3 separate regions of the Mus musculus genome follow, and regions 2 and 3 are each reported to be linked to region 1. Evidence: microRNA targets listed by miRTarBase, many of them from high-throughput screens and not tested one by one. Region 1 holds a microRNA gene; each other region holds the end of a gene's coding sequence.

The links. Region 1 holds the annotated microRNA mmu-miR-546 (AUGGUGGCACGGAGUC, at 2,105-2,120, opposite strand). A microRNA usually pairs through its seed, bases 2 to 8, with sites in the 3' UTR of a target mRNA and lowers its output. Matches are read on the target gene's strand: a 7mer-m8 pairs with bases 2 to 8, a 7mer-A1 pairs with bases 2 to 7 and ends in A, and an 8mer does both.
Region 2: the mRNA of Zbtb44 is a reported target of mmu-miR-546. Seed matches in the 3' UTR shown: 7mer-A1 at 3,635-3,641 and 7mer-m8 at 2,593-2,599.
Region 3: miRTarBase lists Tmco3 as a target of mmu-miR-546. Seed matches in the 3' UTR shown: 7mer-m8 at 1,643-1,649.

What each region holds. Positions count from the first base shown.
Region 1 is chr10:126,995,516-127,000,590 of GRCm38, reverse strand. It overlaps Mir546 (microRNA 546), which reads right to left and starts at 2,151; the gene lies at 2,031-2,151. Ctdsp2 (CTD (carboxy-terminal domain, RNA polymerase II, polypeptide A) small phosphatase 2) reads right to left here. Exons shown (of 8, transcript NM_001113470.1): 6 at 4,644-4,736; 7 at 4,380-4,565; 8 at 616-4,230. The coding sequence ends at 4,105. It overlaps Mir26a-2 (microRNA 26a-2), which reads right to left and starts at 5,061; the gene lies at 4,978-5,061. It also overlaps a transcript of Avil not described here.
Region 2 is chr9:31,068,331-31,073,405 of GRCm38, reverse strand. Zbtb44 (zinc finger and BTB domain containing 44) reads right to left here. Exons shown (of 6, transcript NM_001115130.1): 6 at 1-4,661. The coding sequence ends at 4,651. Among named protein-coding and RNA genes, the nearest start is that of Gm17508, 12 kb to the left of the region's middle.
Region 3 is chr8:13,320,465-13,325,539 of GRCm38, forward strand. Tmco3 (transmembrane and coiled-coil domains 3) reads left to right here. Exons shown (of 13, transcript NM_172282.2): 13 at 297-2,460. The coding sequence ends at 410. Among named protein-coding and RNA genes, the nearest start is that of Tfdp1, 16 kb to the right of the region's middle.

The DNA.
Region 1 (5,075 bases):
GCGAAAACAAGAAGAGCAGACTTCTAAAGGCTTCTTTTAACTCCAGCTCCACACCCTGGTCTATTGATTTTTTTAAAAGTGCACTGTCCATCAATAATTCAGTGAGGGAGGATATGAATTTGCCATATTGTAGATATGAACGTATTATGCTGATGACAGGAGACTGGCTAGAGCTCCCCTACTGTGTGCCTGGACGTTCAGGGCTGAGAGATGATTCTGGGCAATTCTGTGGTGTCAGGAAAGCTTTTGTTGCTTGGAGTCTGTACAAGTCATCCTACTATGTGCCTGGAAACCATGCTGGGCTCTGAATCTCAAGGCCTGTTTGGCAGCATCAAGAGCACATGCAGGAGCCTCCAATTCCCCCAGGGCTTCAGTCTCTACCCCAGTCAATAGCACAGCAAGCAAACGCTTGCCAAGTACCTGGGGAGAGGGAGTTGGTTCCAACCCAGGCCCGAGAGGGGCTAATGCACTCCAACCTCTGTAACCTTGATCAGAATCCCAGCGTTTGCTCTGCCAGGTGCTATCATTTCACGATCAACGAGGTCATGCAGGAAGAACAGTGTCCACCGAGTGTCAGGTCAGTGGAAGGGAAGGAAAGCAAAAGCAGCTCCCAGTCCTGCACAGGTTTTTAAACCAGCCTTTATTAACAATTGTAATACAAATATTCCAAAAATATAAACAGACTCTTAATGGCATCCTACAGTTCAAGTTTTTGAATACAACAAATGTATCAAATCATGAAGCAAGGTGGCCAAGGATCCCATAGCCTGGTCACAGTGGGAAGCAGACCTCTCCCCTCCAAATGGCATCACGGGAATAGCCAGATCCGGGGTAAGGACAGGCATGGAGAATCACCAGCTTATGGTGCAGGGCAGTTCTGGGAGCTAACCCCGAACTAAAGGATGGGGCAGCTGGCCTGACCTGTGACCTCTTCTCCCCTGAACATGGACTTATCTGTTTTCTAGAAAGAGGGACTGGGGATGTAGCTTAGTTGGGAGTGTGTGCCTGACATGCACGAAGCCCTGGGTTGTCCCCAGCACCTCACAAGCCAGCAAGGTGATCACACCTGTAACCCCAGCACTCAGGGGGTGGAGGCAGGAGACCAGCGATCACCTGTAACCCCAGCACTCAGGAGGTGGAGGCAGGAGACCAGCGATCACCTGTAACCCCAGCACTCAGGAGGTGGAGGCAGGAGACCAGCTATCACCTGTAACCCCAGCACTCAGGGGGTGGAGGCAGGAGACCAGCTCAAGATCACTCTTGGCTAAACAGGAGTTCAAACCCGTTTTTAAAAAAGGAGTAGCCGTGGTTTGGAAATTCATCAAACCGTGTGTGTGTGTGTGTGTGTAGGGGAGAACTAGGACATTTTTAAAAAAGGAGTAGCCGTGGTTAAGTAGCCCAAAGGGGAAACAGCTCACCGTTTTCACTTAGCCAGGCCAACACACTGGATGCAGGACAGCACAAACAGGCCACACTGCCAAGAGGCCTCTGAACAGAGCAGGTCATGGACCTATAAGGGACCCATCTCCCAGGAATGGTTGCTGTGAGGGTCCCATGCTTTTAGTACAAAGCTTTTCTGAGCCACTGTTAACAGGGGGAGGGGGGTTATACAATTATACAAAAATCTTTGGGAGGGAGTGAGATAGGTCCCTGGTTGAACGAAGGCAAATTCACTCAACTTCTTTAATTAGGGACCCATGGGCCTTCGGTGTCCCCTCTACAATGTGCAGAGTGGAAACCCTTACCTGGCCCTTTATCAAACTGGTCCTGTGTCCAAAGCTCCCCCTATAAGAGGGACAGGAACGTCAGGCTTTTGATGCGAAGCCCAATCAGACACACACTGTGTCCCTGAAGAGGCACCTTAAAGAGCTGAACCCGGCAGGGGGCAGATTCCTAGCATGGCTTGGAGTGGATGCTGACACCTGGTCCGGTGGTCTACTGACTCCTGAAGACCAGTCTGCACTGGGGCAGGCGGGCTGGTGGCAGTGGAGCAAGGGCTTCAGGAGGCACTGGCTCCTCTCACTTGCCCTCCTCTCCTCCCCAGTATCACTTTGCTTCTAAAACATGGAACTAGCACAGGGATAGCAAGAGACAACATCTAGCTGACTCCGTGCCACCATGATAGATCCTGTTTAGTTTTGGGAAGAGAGGAGTTGATATGGCATCTTTGTGGCAGACTGCAGGTGGTAAGAGGACTCTGGTGGCAGTCAGGCCTAGAGAGCTGGGGTTTCATGGAGAAGTAACAGGGCTCCCATGAAGCCACACTGGGCTTTGGTCACATGGAGAACCAAGAAGCCAGAAAGGGACCTTAAAATTCAATCAACTCTGAGGCTCTTATTGCTTAGTCAAGACCAGCCCTCAGAGCTTTGTGAGAAGACCCCTCCTGCAGTATTGGGATGCCAGTGAGATCAGGGTCTGGACCTGAAGCCACAGTCAAGCTCCCATGTTCCTGGCTAGCACCTGCAGCCCTCAGCTCACCTTGGGAGGACCCTACAGACACCAGCAAATGAGGCTGGGGAAATGGCATGTGTTTGTCACAGAAGTGAAAGCCAAGGCTCCATAGCCTCGGGCCCAGGAAGAAGTCTGCAGAGTGCTGGAGGAATGCCAGCCAGTCTCCACTCACACCACCACACTCCTCCACCAGGCTTTCTCAAACCCCAGGCAGGACCTCGTGTGTGGAAACTAGAAAAATTTGAAAATATTGACTCCTGAGTGGGAGGTACCACACCTGAACCAACCCACAAACGCTGGCCGGCCTCCAGGGGAAGCAGAGATGGGGTAGGAACTCCCGCCCACCTCGGAGGGAGGCAGGGAGTGGGCGGGACTCACTTAAGGCAGTGAGGTGGAGGCCCCTCAGGGGCCCCTTGTGTTCCCAATGGTAGCTTTCCACTTTGGGGAAACTTCCACTCTGTGACTGACATTGAAAGCAACAGGGCTGAGAGCTCAGAGCTGCCCAGAGCACAGAGCTATGAGGACCTCACTCAGTCCTATAACGAGAAGCAGGAGGCATTTGGCAAATCAAGTAAGAGCAACACTTGGGACAACCAATCAATTAAGTACAACCGGGGAAAGTCCTTCTCCCAAGGCTCTGGAGAGGAAGAGCAGCAGCCGAGAAGGATAAAGGCGAGAGCAGACGAGAGCTGGCCAGGGCGGGACACCAGGAAGACACAGAGGGAGAGCCAAGCCCTCCCCAGCCTTTGGAGCTAATGTCCTTGCATCAGCTAGCACAGAACCCCTGAAGAGCACTTTTGGGATCTACACGCAAGGAGACAGACATCTTGCATTGAACATTTGCATTTTCTTTGTACCCCAGCGCTTCCCACACAAACCTCAGGCCCAGGACTGGAGCTCGGGCGAATATAAACCACTCCAAGTTTAGAAAGAGATTTTTAAGAGTTAAAAGAACAGAAATCAGCTATATGTCCTCCTCCAGGGCAGAGAGAAGACCTCCTTTCCCATGGGAGTAGGACTATGGCTTGGGAGTGAGAGGCTGGCCTGGCACTGGAGCCCGGGTACAGAGAAGTGCCCATGGCAGGCATTCTTGCTGGAGCCAGGTGTAGCCCATAGGACACAGAACCTGGTGGGTCTGCGAACATGCTCTCATATTCCCAAACATGTCTGCAGCTGCTGGCTAGGTTTCTGTGTTTTCTGAAAGATGTGTGTCTGGGCATCCAAAGCAGCCTCCGGCCTCTCCCTTCTCCTTGGCACAGGTCTTGATGCTGAGGGAAAGCCATGGTTTGGCGAGGGAGCCTACAATAGTTTTCATGGCTGTAAAGCTCAGTAGCTCACAGCATAGCAGGAAAGAAGACAAATGACTTGGGTTGAGTCCTTATCTTTCAGCTTCTCCCCCTACTGCACAACTGGGCACCCAGGACCATAGTTTACCGGACGGGCACATGCACGCACACACACCCACACAACCACCTGGGAACTGAGCACGGGGTGCAGAGAGCTCTGGGTCTTGGTCTGATTTCCTGCTCTGCGTGTGACCTGCTTTTGTCCCACACGCCCTGGCTACTTGCAGACCCCGTCAGTGAGGCTGACCACAAAGGCACAGTGTAGCAGAGTCCCCTGTTGGGATGGCCGTTTCTTGGAGCAGGAAGGCTAAGGGGCCCGCAGCTGCCCAAGGCTGGTGTAGACATCATCAGTTCCACTTAGCTCCTCGAAGACTGGAATCAGGTTCAGCAACTCTGTATCTGCCATGTCATCAAACCAGGACTGCACAGGCACCTGGGGCAGGAAAAAGTGACATTATCTGATATTTCCTTTCCTTTCCAGTGCCATTGGAGGCTGCTGGGCCACACAGGGGTTGTGGACTCCTCTGATAAAGCCCACGGGCCCAGCCTGCAGCCACCCCAGTCCCTGATGCGAGCACTCACTGCATTTTCTGGGTGGAAGATGTAAGATGCAGGGGAGTTGTCCAGGATGACAGTTTTCCTCAGGTCCCTTCCCAGGCGGCTGAGGTCCTTGACATAGCAGCCCTGGTGGAACACACAAGCCTCTCGGAACAGGCGGGCCCGGAACACCCCGCACCGGTCCAGGAGATCAGTCACAGGGTCAGCATACTGGAAAAGAAGGAGAAGCTTTAGCCTAGGCTGAGGGCTGGCTCTCCCCTGCCTTCTGCCCCTCCTGCAGTCAGGTACCTTGGCCAAGCTGGCAGTGAAGAGAACACATTCGAAGAGCTCCCCCATCCGTCTCAGGAACTCATCGACGTAAGGCCTCTTGAGCACATATACCTGGGAGACAGAGTGGATTGCTGTAGGAACCCCACAAGGCCAAGGACACAGCACCGGCTCTGCCTGTGCACTGACAGAAAAGCAAGCAGGCCTAGATACCCAGGTCGAGACACTGAGACCTCTGCCCCACCATGGACAGCTCTACCATGTTACCAGGCTTCTGCTGCCTCAACAGGCCCAACCCTAACCCGGCAGGAAGGAATGCACTCCCAGGAGCCATCTTCATTGAGGGCAGACCATGCGCTGCCTCCAGAAACAAGTAATCAAGAACAGGCCTCATGGACGGACACAGCCTATCCTGGATTACTTGAATCCAGCCGCAGCCTCCACAGTAGCCTT
Region 2 (5,075 bases), not on the chromosome of region 1:
AGTATCATTCCCTGTTCAACATAATTCATGTTTCTAGGTTGCAGCAAAAATCTCAATTTATGTATAATCCAGAGTGAAACATCTATAGCCTACTTCTTAACCAGCCTGAGGACTGGCTCGATTCCACTTCATTGTTTATCTGAACCATTGCTATTTTGGTAAATTTGTTTTGTTGAAGACTTTCACATAAAAACTATCCTATGTCACCACATTCTGTCAAAAACGAAAGAGGGATAAATACTAGTATAAGCAAAATAAGAAATCTTAACTTTGATGATCTCATTTAAAACATGTATTTAGTTATAAATATTCCTCATGGCTGTGTTTACAACAATACCATCTCTCCACTCCCTCACTTTTGTCCATTGCCTTCTGGTTTCTACTATCAAAATACAAAAAGACATCTGATGGCAACACTTAGCAGTGCAGTGAAAACTCACCTTCCTCCCCTACCTTGGGGCTGTTTGCTCCATGTGAGCTTTCCTAGGTCCTTCCCCCACCCCTAGTTAAGAACTCAAAAATCACTCCTTCACGAAGATGTATACTTCCGAGCTTGAAGGCCCTTGGGGCAGATGAGTGATGCAGGACAATGCAAGTTTCCAATTCACCTGTTCATTACATCTACAAATCAAAATCTCTTCAGTTAAAATTGAGGACCGAGCATTCATTTGCCATCATAAGAAATCATTCTCTGTGATCCTGGTAGAGAAGCCACCTGCATAGCACTGTATGGTCACGCACCTTGCAGGGACTCCAAAGCTAACAGGCTAAAGCTTAATCTGAAAATGGACACGCGCTCTGCAAAAGTGGCTTCTAGTAATTAGACTAAGAGAATAAAATAAGAGGTTTTTGTTTTGTTTTTTAAAGGAGTGAAAGACTTAACATAGCTTCCAAAGGAACAGGGATGAGTTATAAGACAGGAGAGCCTGGCTCAGCAGTTAGAAGGAAGCTGAGTTACCAGTGACTCAGCGAATCAGAGGCCCTGACTACTTCACTCTTAGTAAAACAGTTTAACAAACACAAGCATGTTTGTTTGTTTGTTTTTTATAGCAAAGGGAATGTATCTTAACACGGATCCTGTTTATCTATTGGGACTCCAAACGGTCAAACCTAAACAGCTTAGCACACTTTGTCTTAGCAAAACTGTGAACTTAAAAAAAAAACAAACACTCCACAAAAACCCAAAATAAAACCTATTAATATAATGAACTGTGGTTAAACTTGAAATTAAACTGAAAATAAAAATTAGGATTGTTTAAAATGGCCAATTAAGGGAAGTGGATATTAACATTTATCTACATCCATTTCTTGAAAAATTTAAACGCATAAAGTAAAGGTTACTGTCAAATTTCTGTTTCTGAGTTAGTGATTTCCTGACATTACACTCTGAAGGCTAGAGTTTGGAAATGCAAAGACTGACACGAGGAGCTACGACTCCTGACAACACGGGAAGAGCTTTGCTTCTAAAGCACATCCTATCTATTTGGTAGTTGGAAAAAAAAAAAAAAAACTGAAAACAAAGCTTTTCTTATATAAAATGCTTTGTTTTTTAAAAAGTAATTTATCTAGCATTCTAAAATTTAAGCCCTTTAAATATCACAAAGGTACCCTTGTTGGCCTTACAAAAGATAGCTACCTTTAAATATTCTAAACAAGAATGATTCTCTGTTTAGTTACCCTGGTGATTTCTATGACGGGATCGTAACTGGCTTTCATCTCTTCAATGTTTTCCATATGTTCTGGTGAAAAGTATACATCTAGGCATTCCTCTCTTAAATCAACTTTAAATAAACTTTAAATATTACTATATATACAATTATCTCTTGCAGTTGTATTTCCTATAACAGACCCATAAACAAAATATCCTTAAAAATGTAGAGTCTCATTGGAACAGAAAAAAGCCTTTGTATCATTTTATATTAAACACTGGTTAGGTAAGTTTATTAAAAATGTTTGGGTAGTAGGCAACTAACCATTTGTGCATTCATAGTATATTCAAATCTGTCACTAAGGTTGGCTACAAGCTTTGCCACTAGGGATAAAAATCCACAGGGAGGTGTGTCCTTCACAGGGAGGCTGCCAGGGCTGTCCTAACACACGACTCTTAGGATAGAGTAGACTCAAACACTTTCAATCAAAACAATCTAAAAAGAATTCTTCAAATCAATTCATCTCTGATTTATTCTCATTTCTTTCTTCCTTTTACTTTTTTCTAGCTCTTAACAACAAAACAAAACAAAACAAAAAACAAAAAAACCAAGACAAAACAACCCAATTTAGAACCAAGAACATTTACCATACTAAAATAGGATTCTAGTGAGTTTTAGGATTTCTTTATTACTAGGCACAGTTTTCAAAGATCATGTATGATAAAAAAATAAAAATGACTGACTTTCCTAGTTGGTTTTTCTGAAAGCTACCCACCTATGCTTGGGAGCAATCAGCCATGAGTCAGGTAAAAAACAACTGGGACTCAGGGTGGGGGTGTGACCAGTGACAGGGCACGTGCGCATCATATACAAAGTCCTGGGTGCAATTCTCAGTATCAAGAAGAAAAAAGAACAGAGATAGAAATTAAATTTCAGCCGGGCGTGGTGGCGCACGCCTTTAATCCCAGAATTTGGGAGGCAGAGGCAGGCGGATTTCTGAGTTCGAGGCCAGCCTGGTCTACAAAGTGAGTTCCAGGACAGCCAGGGCTACACAGAGAAACCCTGTCTTGGAAAAAAAAAAAAAAAAAAAAAAAAAAAAAGAACCCAAAAACAAAACAAAACCAAAAAACCTACAAAAAACCAGAAATTAAATTGCAGAATTAATAAATTTTAAAGAAACAAATTACTATAATATAAAAAGTAAGTAAGGTTTGGCATTGGGATAAAAGTCAGATCAGGTGTTTGACTAAGACTATAGTCTGATCTGGGTGTGGTGATGTGTGTCTATAATATATAATGGTAGCAAAGGTTGTTGGGAAACTGAGGCAAGAGGATGATGAGTTCTGGACCAACCTGGACTACCTATGATCCTGTCACAAAACAAAAGAGAGTGTCCAAAGTCAAACAAACAAACAAACAAACAAACAAAATGTTGTTTTTATCTTCTAACCCCATCAGGGGCTATCATAACGATAAACATTGGGGCTATTTTCTATATAAAAAATTACACAAAAGTTCATTACTCGTGGCTTCATAAATATTTTAGATCAAAGAGGCTTTAATGGCAAAAGATAAAAAAGTATATCCCAATCTAGAATATCATATAAATGTTATCGTCTGAGTAGCAAAGTTTTTAAGATTCTGGTCTTAACAATCCCTCCCTCCATGTCTGAGTCACAGATGATCACTCACAACCTCGTCGTATCTTTTACATTATTGCTTACATCTCGTGAAAGCTTTTAACAAACTTGGCAATACCTCAAAATATTTTGGAATAAGGACATTATATTGTTGTCATATGTGACCTTGTAAACAATCTTAATTGGGTTAAGAATGTAGCCTCAAAACAGAATTCTTTTATTTTGTCCAAAACAGCACAGCATCGACATCCTCAACAATACATAAACCTATATATAAAATATAGAATATCTTCACTATTTCTCCTTTATATGGCAGCACAATAGTATATGCAAATGAAAGTGCTGTTGGTGGGACACGAGGACACTTCTCTGAGCAATGCCCTAGTTAGCCAGGTGTCAGCATTCAATGACCAGGAAGAGAAAGTCTCAGGAGAGTTTCTGCAAAGCTGGGTATACGTACCTCGTTCTGCACCCTGCCATTCCACATGCAGCCTGACTCTTCTCAACCACACCTCTTAGCCTCTGGAGTGGTGCTATAAAGGTACAGGAAATACCTGCCTGATACTAATTTTTCACTATGAAAATTCAAAATGGCTTAAAAAAGAATATACTGGATTTCAGAAGTTATTTACCTTCATCTGAAAAAAACAAAAACAAAAACAAACCCACCACAAATACTTCCAAAACTACAGGGTTTATAACACCCTGCACTTAGGAGTACACATTTACTTAGGCCTTGTCAAACTGTTTAATAACTTCTCATTAGCCCTCTTCTCTCAGGAAGGTCAACCACAGCCTGAGTTCTTTTGTATCTGCTGCTGCCCACTTTTAACAATGGGAGGAAGAACTGCCATGTTCTAAGTCAGCTGCTTTTCCTTAAGTCTCAAAGTTTATGTTCTGTTTCAATGTTACCTTATTGTATACATACAGAAGCAATCTCTCAGCTATGAAAAAACAAAACAAAACATAGAACCCTCCAGTTTTAGGGTTTACAAAGGGAACCCTTCTTTAAAAATTAAATTAAATTTAAACATATGAGACCAAGCACAGGCACTTTCCAAAAAACCAAACCCCAGGCCAATCACAGAATTACTCAATAGTTATAGCAGGCAGCTCTGCCTTAGGGGGGTCATCCCTGGGCGCCTCAGCAGGAGCACTGGTCTTTGGCTGCTCATGCAGTTCCTCCTCCTTCTCTGTAAGCCCACCAAGAGAGCCCAGGGGAAAAGTGCTTTCACAATTCTGGGTTGAGGAGACCTGTGAAATCACAGGCATTTGAACAGAAGAGTTGCTTTCAAAAGTATGTTCTCCAAGATCATACTGAACAAGGGTCTCTTCTTGCTCCTGGTTTAAGTAGTCCGGTACTAAGAAATCACTAAATGAGAGGCAAAGGATAAAATACAAAATTAATTTTCAAACTATAATAAAGAGATATCATCTATAATACAAGTCTGGGGCTTTTCATTTCACTAATTATTCAATGAAGTTAATATAAATAAGCTTTCCCAAATATCAACTGAAGCCATTCAGTAGAACCAATGTGCATCCCACCTCCCTATGGGCAATAAAAAAGATTAATGATCACTTCCAGTGATTCTCTGGACACTTCAAAGGCCTTTCTGGATCTACATATAGGAGTCTGTATATAATGTGAGTGGCATTTCACTAAAGCAAGCATCATGTGACTAAGCCGAGTAAGAGGTTTATATAGACCTAGCTCTGTATTTCTTTTGTAATACCTCTTTGTAGAGGTTAGCTAAGAAGCTCAGTCTTTATGCATGCATGACCT
Region 3 (5,075 bases), not on the chromosome of region 1:
CCTGTAGGGTTCACCTTCAGGCCATCAATGGAACCAGGCTGCTACCCTGGAACTTACCAGAACTACCACAACTTTCCGTCAGGTCGAATCCCAGTTCTTCCCACTGCAAATGTCCTCTCTCCTGTGGCACTATTTCCCCCTCTTTAAAGATGGATACGCTTCTGGTTGACAGTGTAGCTCCCAACACTCAGTGGGGTCACACTGTCCACATGCGCTACTCGAGGTGTCCTCTGAAAATGCAGGCTGTGCGCTTTACCTTCCGAACTCTTGTGACTGTGCCCATTTGCCCGTTGCAGGTGTACCTCCTTATCCTAAGTGTGACCACACTCAGCCTCTTACTCGCCCCAGTGCTGTGGAAAGCAGCCATTACCAAGTGTGTGCCGAGACCAGAGAGGCGCTCAAGTCTCTGACAACACCCGAGGACGACAGGCTGTGGGGCAAGGATCCTTCGGGGGTTCCAGTCCCGAGACGGTCTGCTGCTGCGCCTCTCTGCTGGCTTCCCAGCAGAGACAGAGTAACACGGGCCAAGAGGCAGCGCCCTCATGCTTGCTTGCTATTTCAAAGACTCTCCTGTCATGTTTAAGAATTTTCCAGAGTAATTTATTTGCAGTCAGTTGATTATGTACAGAGTTTTAACACTGCATTTTACAATCACCTGAACTATTTTGCCTGGATGTGCCTTTTTTAATGAAAATTATTAACTTCCATTTGTTAATTTACCAGCTTATGATTTTTTGGTAAAGAAGAAAAATTAGAAAGCCATTATATTTATTGTACAATTATAGTAGTTGGTCAAATATTTGTTATTAAACATAATAGCAATATGCGATTTTAATTTTATTTCTGAGCTTGGAAACTTACTTTTGATCTTTAAAACCTCAGTGTCCCCTTGCCTCTTGTCACTGTTTTAAATAAAACATTTTCATGTTCATTTTTATTAGTTTTAATTTGATTTTGAATCACAAGAATATGCATTCTTAAGTAAAGACCATTTATGATCAGGGTATAATTATTTGAAATTTACTGAGAATCTCATTTTTTTTTAAAAAAGATTTACTTATTTTTCTGTGGTTCTTTGCCTACATGTATGTGTGTATATGAGGGTGCCAGATCCCCAGGGACTGGAGTTACAGTTAGCAGCCATGTGGGTGCTAGGAGCTGAACCTAGGGGCTATGGAAGAGCAGCCAGTCTCCTAACCCATGAGCCATCTTTCCAGCCTCCAAAAATCTCATTTTATCTTAGATTTTTGTGTTGAACTAATCATTGGCAAAATCTTGCCAATGTTTTTTAATTTTAGATTTACTTACATGTCTGTATGAGCATCACCTGTGCTCCTGGTGTCTGAAGAAGTGAGAAGGGGGCTGGATGCACTGGACCTAGAGTAATGGGTGACTGTGAGATGCTGTGTGAGTGCTGGGAACCAAACCTGGGTCCTTTCCCAGAGCAATGAGTGCCCTTAACTGCCCTCAACTGTCTCTCCAGCCCCAGCTAGTGGTTTTTTTTTTTAATAAGGACCACTCATATGTCATCATATAGTTCTTTTTTTAAAAAAAGATTTATTTATTGTTATATGTAAGTACACTGTAGCTGTCTTAAGACACACCAGAAGAGGGTGTCAGATCTCATTATGAGTGGTTGTGAGCCACCATGTGGTTGCTGGGATTTGAACTCAGGACCTTCAGAAGAGCAGTCAATGCTCTTAACCACTGAGCCATCTCTCCAGCCCCATCATATAGTTATTAAAGACCAAATGAATGCATTTTAAAGATGTTTTAATTATCAGGTATCCTAGAAATGAAGACCTGACCCTTGACAGGGCTCTCCTGAGGGGCGTGGTCAGTCTCTCCATGGTGCTGTAGCTGGATAATCTGTTGGGAACTGGAATTTACTCTTAGTTTTAGATGCTGAGAAGCACAAGGTCAAAAGGGGGAAGGCTCTGTCCTTCTGCTCTGGGGCTGCATGCTGCATAGAGGATTTCAAGTAGTGAGGAGGGCAGACAGCCCAGTTCCAGGGGCTTGTTTATAATTAATGTAATTAACCCACCCATGAGGGCAAGTTCTCTCTGATTGAATCTCTTCTGAGCCCACCCTTCCAACACTGTTGTATTGGGGATTAAACTTGTAGCACCTGAACTCTGGGGTCTGGAAACATTCACGGAATAGGTGTTTTATTTTTCAGTTGCATACACTTTCTATTTTAGTTGACAGTTACAATTATATATGTGTATACTGTGAACAACATCACTGTTACTCTAAACAATTTCTCTGTATATACTGGTTTTCAGAGCTGGACAAATTGACCATAAATGCTGAGGTAGAGGGACAGAGTATAAGGTGTGATTATGTATTTTATGTGTGCATATATAGATTGCAGTAATGTAAATTAAGCCACTGAAGTCAATTGAAATACTGTGTCTTCTTGAAGTGGTGAACAATAGAAGCATTGTCTTTTAGAAAATGATGTTGCTTTCCTGAGTGGTGTCAGATGGCTGGTTCTATCGCTCTTCCCACGTGTTTGAGATATGCTGAAGGAGCAAGATATCCTGGCACAGCTGCTGGCCAGAAGTGGCTACAAGGTTTTGTGACTCCTGAAGAAGGCAAAGATTGCTTGGAGACAGTGTCAGGAGGAATCCTGGACAGAGAACTCAAGGATGTCAGTTTTGCTGCCTTCTGAGAGCTTAACCATCAGCTACAGGTACCGATGCTTCAGAGCACAGTACACTCATGGAGGCTTTGCTGAGGTCAGATGCAGCTCCAGGTGTGGAGGGATATGCATCCAAGATGCTGTGCTCCCAGAAGATACGGCAGTAGGACTAGGAAGGATGCCTGGCTTTCACCACGCTGCACACTGGTCATGACAGGGATCTCTTCCTGTCACACACTTGGACAGGTCTGGAGTAGCTGAGGGAATAGAATTGGCACACAGGCTCACTAACCTTCCTGAAGTTGGTTCTAGAAAAGCCAAGGCTCTTGGAGTACCTGTAAGACACCATTAAGATGAAGGGGAAGAGAGATGTGTGCAGAAAGACCTGGTTGGAGCTGACTTCAGAATTCCCAGTCTGTAGGGAAGGAAGATGACTGGAGTCATATTCCTATCATGTCCCCGGGGCCTGATGATGACAACAAGACCCCTCACAAAGGGCTTCATGTTCCTGCAGGGGCAGGGATGATAGATGGAGCTGCAGCTAGCCCTTCCAGGTAGAGAGGAGGCAGTGTCCAGAACAGGGGCACTCTTGCCTGGAGGGGAAGATGGTGAAATAAACACAAGACACAGTGTCCAGGGTTGTCTCCTACCTAGCTGGACTGGGCCAGTCCCTGTTGTAAGGACAGTAGTACGGATACTGCTCTACACAGGAGGAAGTGGAGGAGACCTAGACCATTCATTGAAGGGGATTTATGGTGTGATGATGTCACAGAGAAGCAGGCCAATAGGCACAAATTATTAAATTTACCTCTCCTTATGGAATTGAAAATTTTCCCCACCTTCTTTTCTCCCTCTTGCTCCGGCCCCAGCTTGCTCCAGCCCATAGGTTTTATTATTATTATTATTTGTTTCTCATTATGGATGCTTGTGAGCCATCATGTGGTTGCTGGGATTTGAACTCATGACCTCCAGAAGAGCAGTCAGTGCTCTTAACCACTGAACCATCTCACCAGCCCTGGTGTTGAACTTTTATTGGGAATTCTTTTTCCCCAAAAAGTTTATTCTTGAAAGGTAGATTATAGGCACCTTCCAGAGGTTGGTTTCTTTCTTTCTTTCTTTCTTTCTTTCTTTCTTTCTTTCTTTTTTTCGGGAAAGGGTTTCTCTGTGTAGCCCTGGCTGTCCTGGAACTCACTCTGTAGACCAGGCTGGCCTCGAACTCAGAAATCTGCCTGCCTCTGCCTCCCGAGTGCTGGGATTAAAGGTCACCCTGCCCAAATAATATTTTGTAATGATTTTTTATGTGCATTGGTATTTTGCCTGCATATCTGTGTGAGAGTGCCAGGTACCCTGGGATTGGAGTTATAAATAGCCATGAGCTGCCATGTGAATACTGGAAATTGAACCCAGGTCCTCTGGAAGAGCAGCCAGGGCACACTGCAGACTTAGGAGGTTGAAGACCTAGATGGAAACTTGTCCAGACCATGGTGAACTGACTGTAGGTGGAGGCTGCCTGGAAGGGGTGGGCTTCTGTGACTGGCAGGCATCCGAGCCAGCTCTGACCCCGCAGCACTGAGCTATCTCAGCTGGTACTTGCTAGCGTCATGGAGAAGCAGCCTTGGTATGGTCCTGCAGGACCAGCAGTTCTCACCTTTCTTGTGCATTTCAGCCAAGTAACTGGTCTGTTAAACCCAAAAACTGCACCGTGGGAGCTAAATTTCAGGGTTGGATGACAAAGATTTCCAAACAGATACCTTTGGGTCGCTACCCTCCAACCCTATGACGCAGAGGCACACGTTGTCTGGGAGTTCACCTAAGACTAGTTCCCAGTTCCTTCTTCCCTTCACGCCTCTCGTGATACCAAAAGGAGTGCCGGGTGAATGCATAAGAATATCTTCATGTTTTTGTTTGATGTTTTCCTGCAATGGTTTGTAGCTATGAGAACACATAGACAGGACCTTGACGATGCTGCCCTTTGTAGGTGTCAAACAGAACTTTTCACCTTTTCAGGAATGCATTTGACCCAATTATCAGGCTTGAAATACCATATTAGCTAATTAGGATACACTAACTTTGAGGTACCATCCTGCAGTTACTTCCTCTCAGTACTCATCTGTTTCCTTGGTCCCAGCCATCATTTGGACTGAGTCCAAACAATTAACTCCCTTTCAAAGAAGGTTTGGGGTTTCTGATTAAACCAGACATAGTTTTACCATCAGATCCAGCAAGTACCCACTCTCGCATTTGTCCACGGGAACTGCTGGCAAATTTGTGTCCATATAACAATCTGTGCATGATGGTTTGGGGCAGATTTTCCTTATTGCCAAAACTCAACCCAGAATTCTTCAGAGAGTCTGTGGGTGCATCCAGAACGTGGAACACGCAGCAGTAAACAAAGAGTGATTGAGTTGTGAAAATACCCAAGGGGACTTTA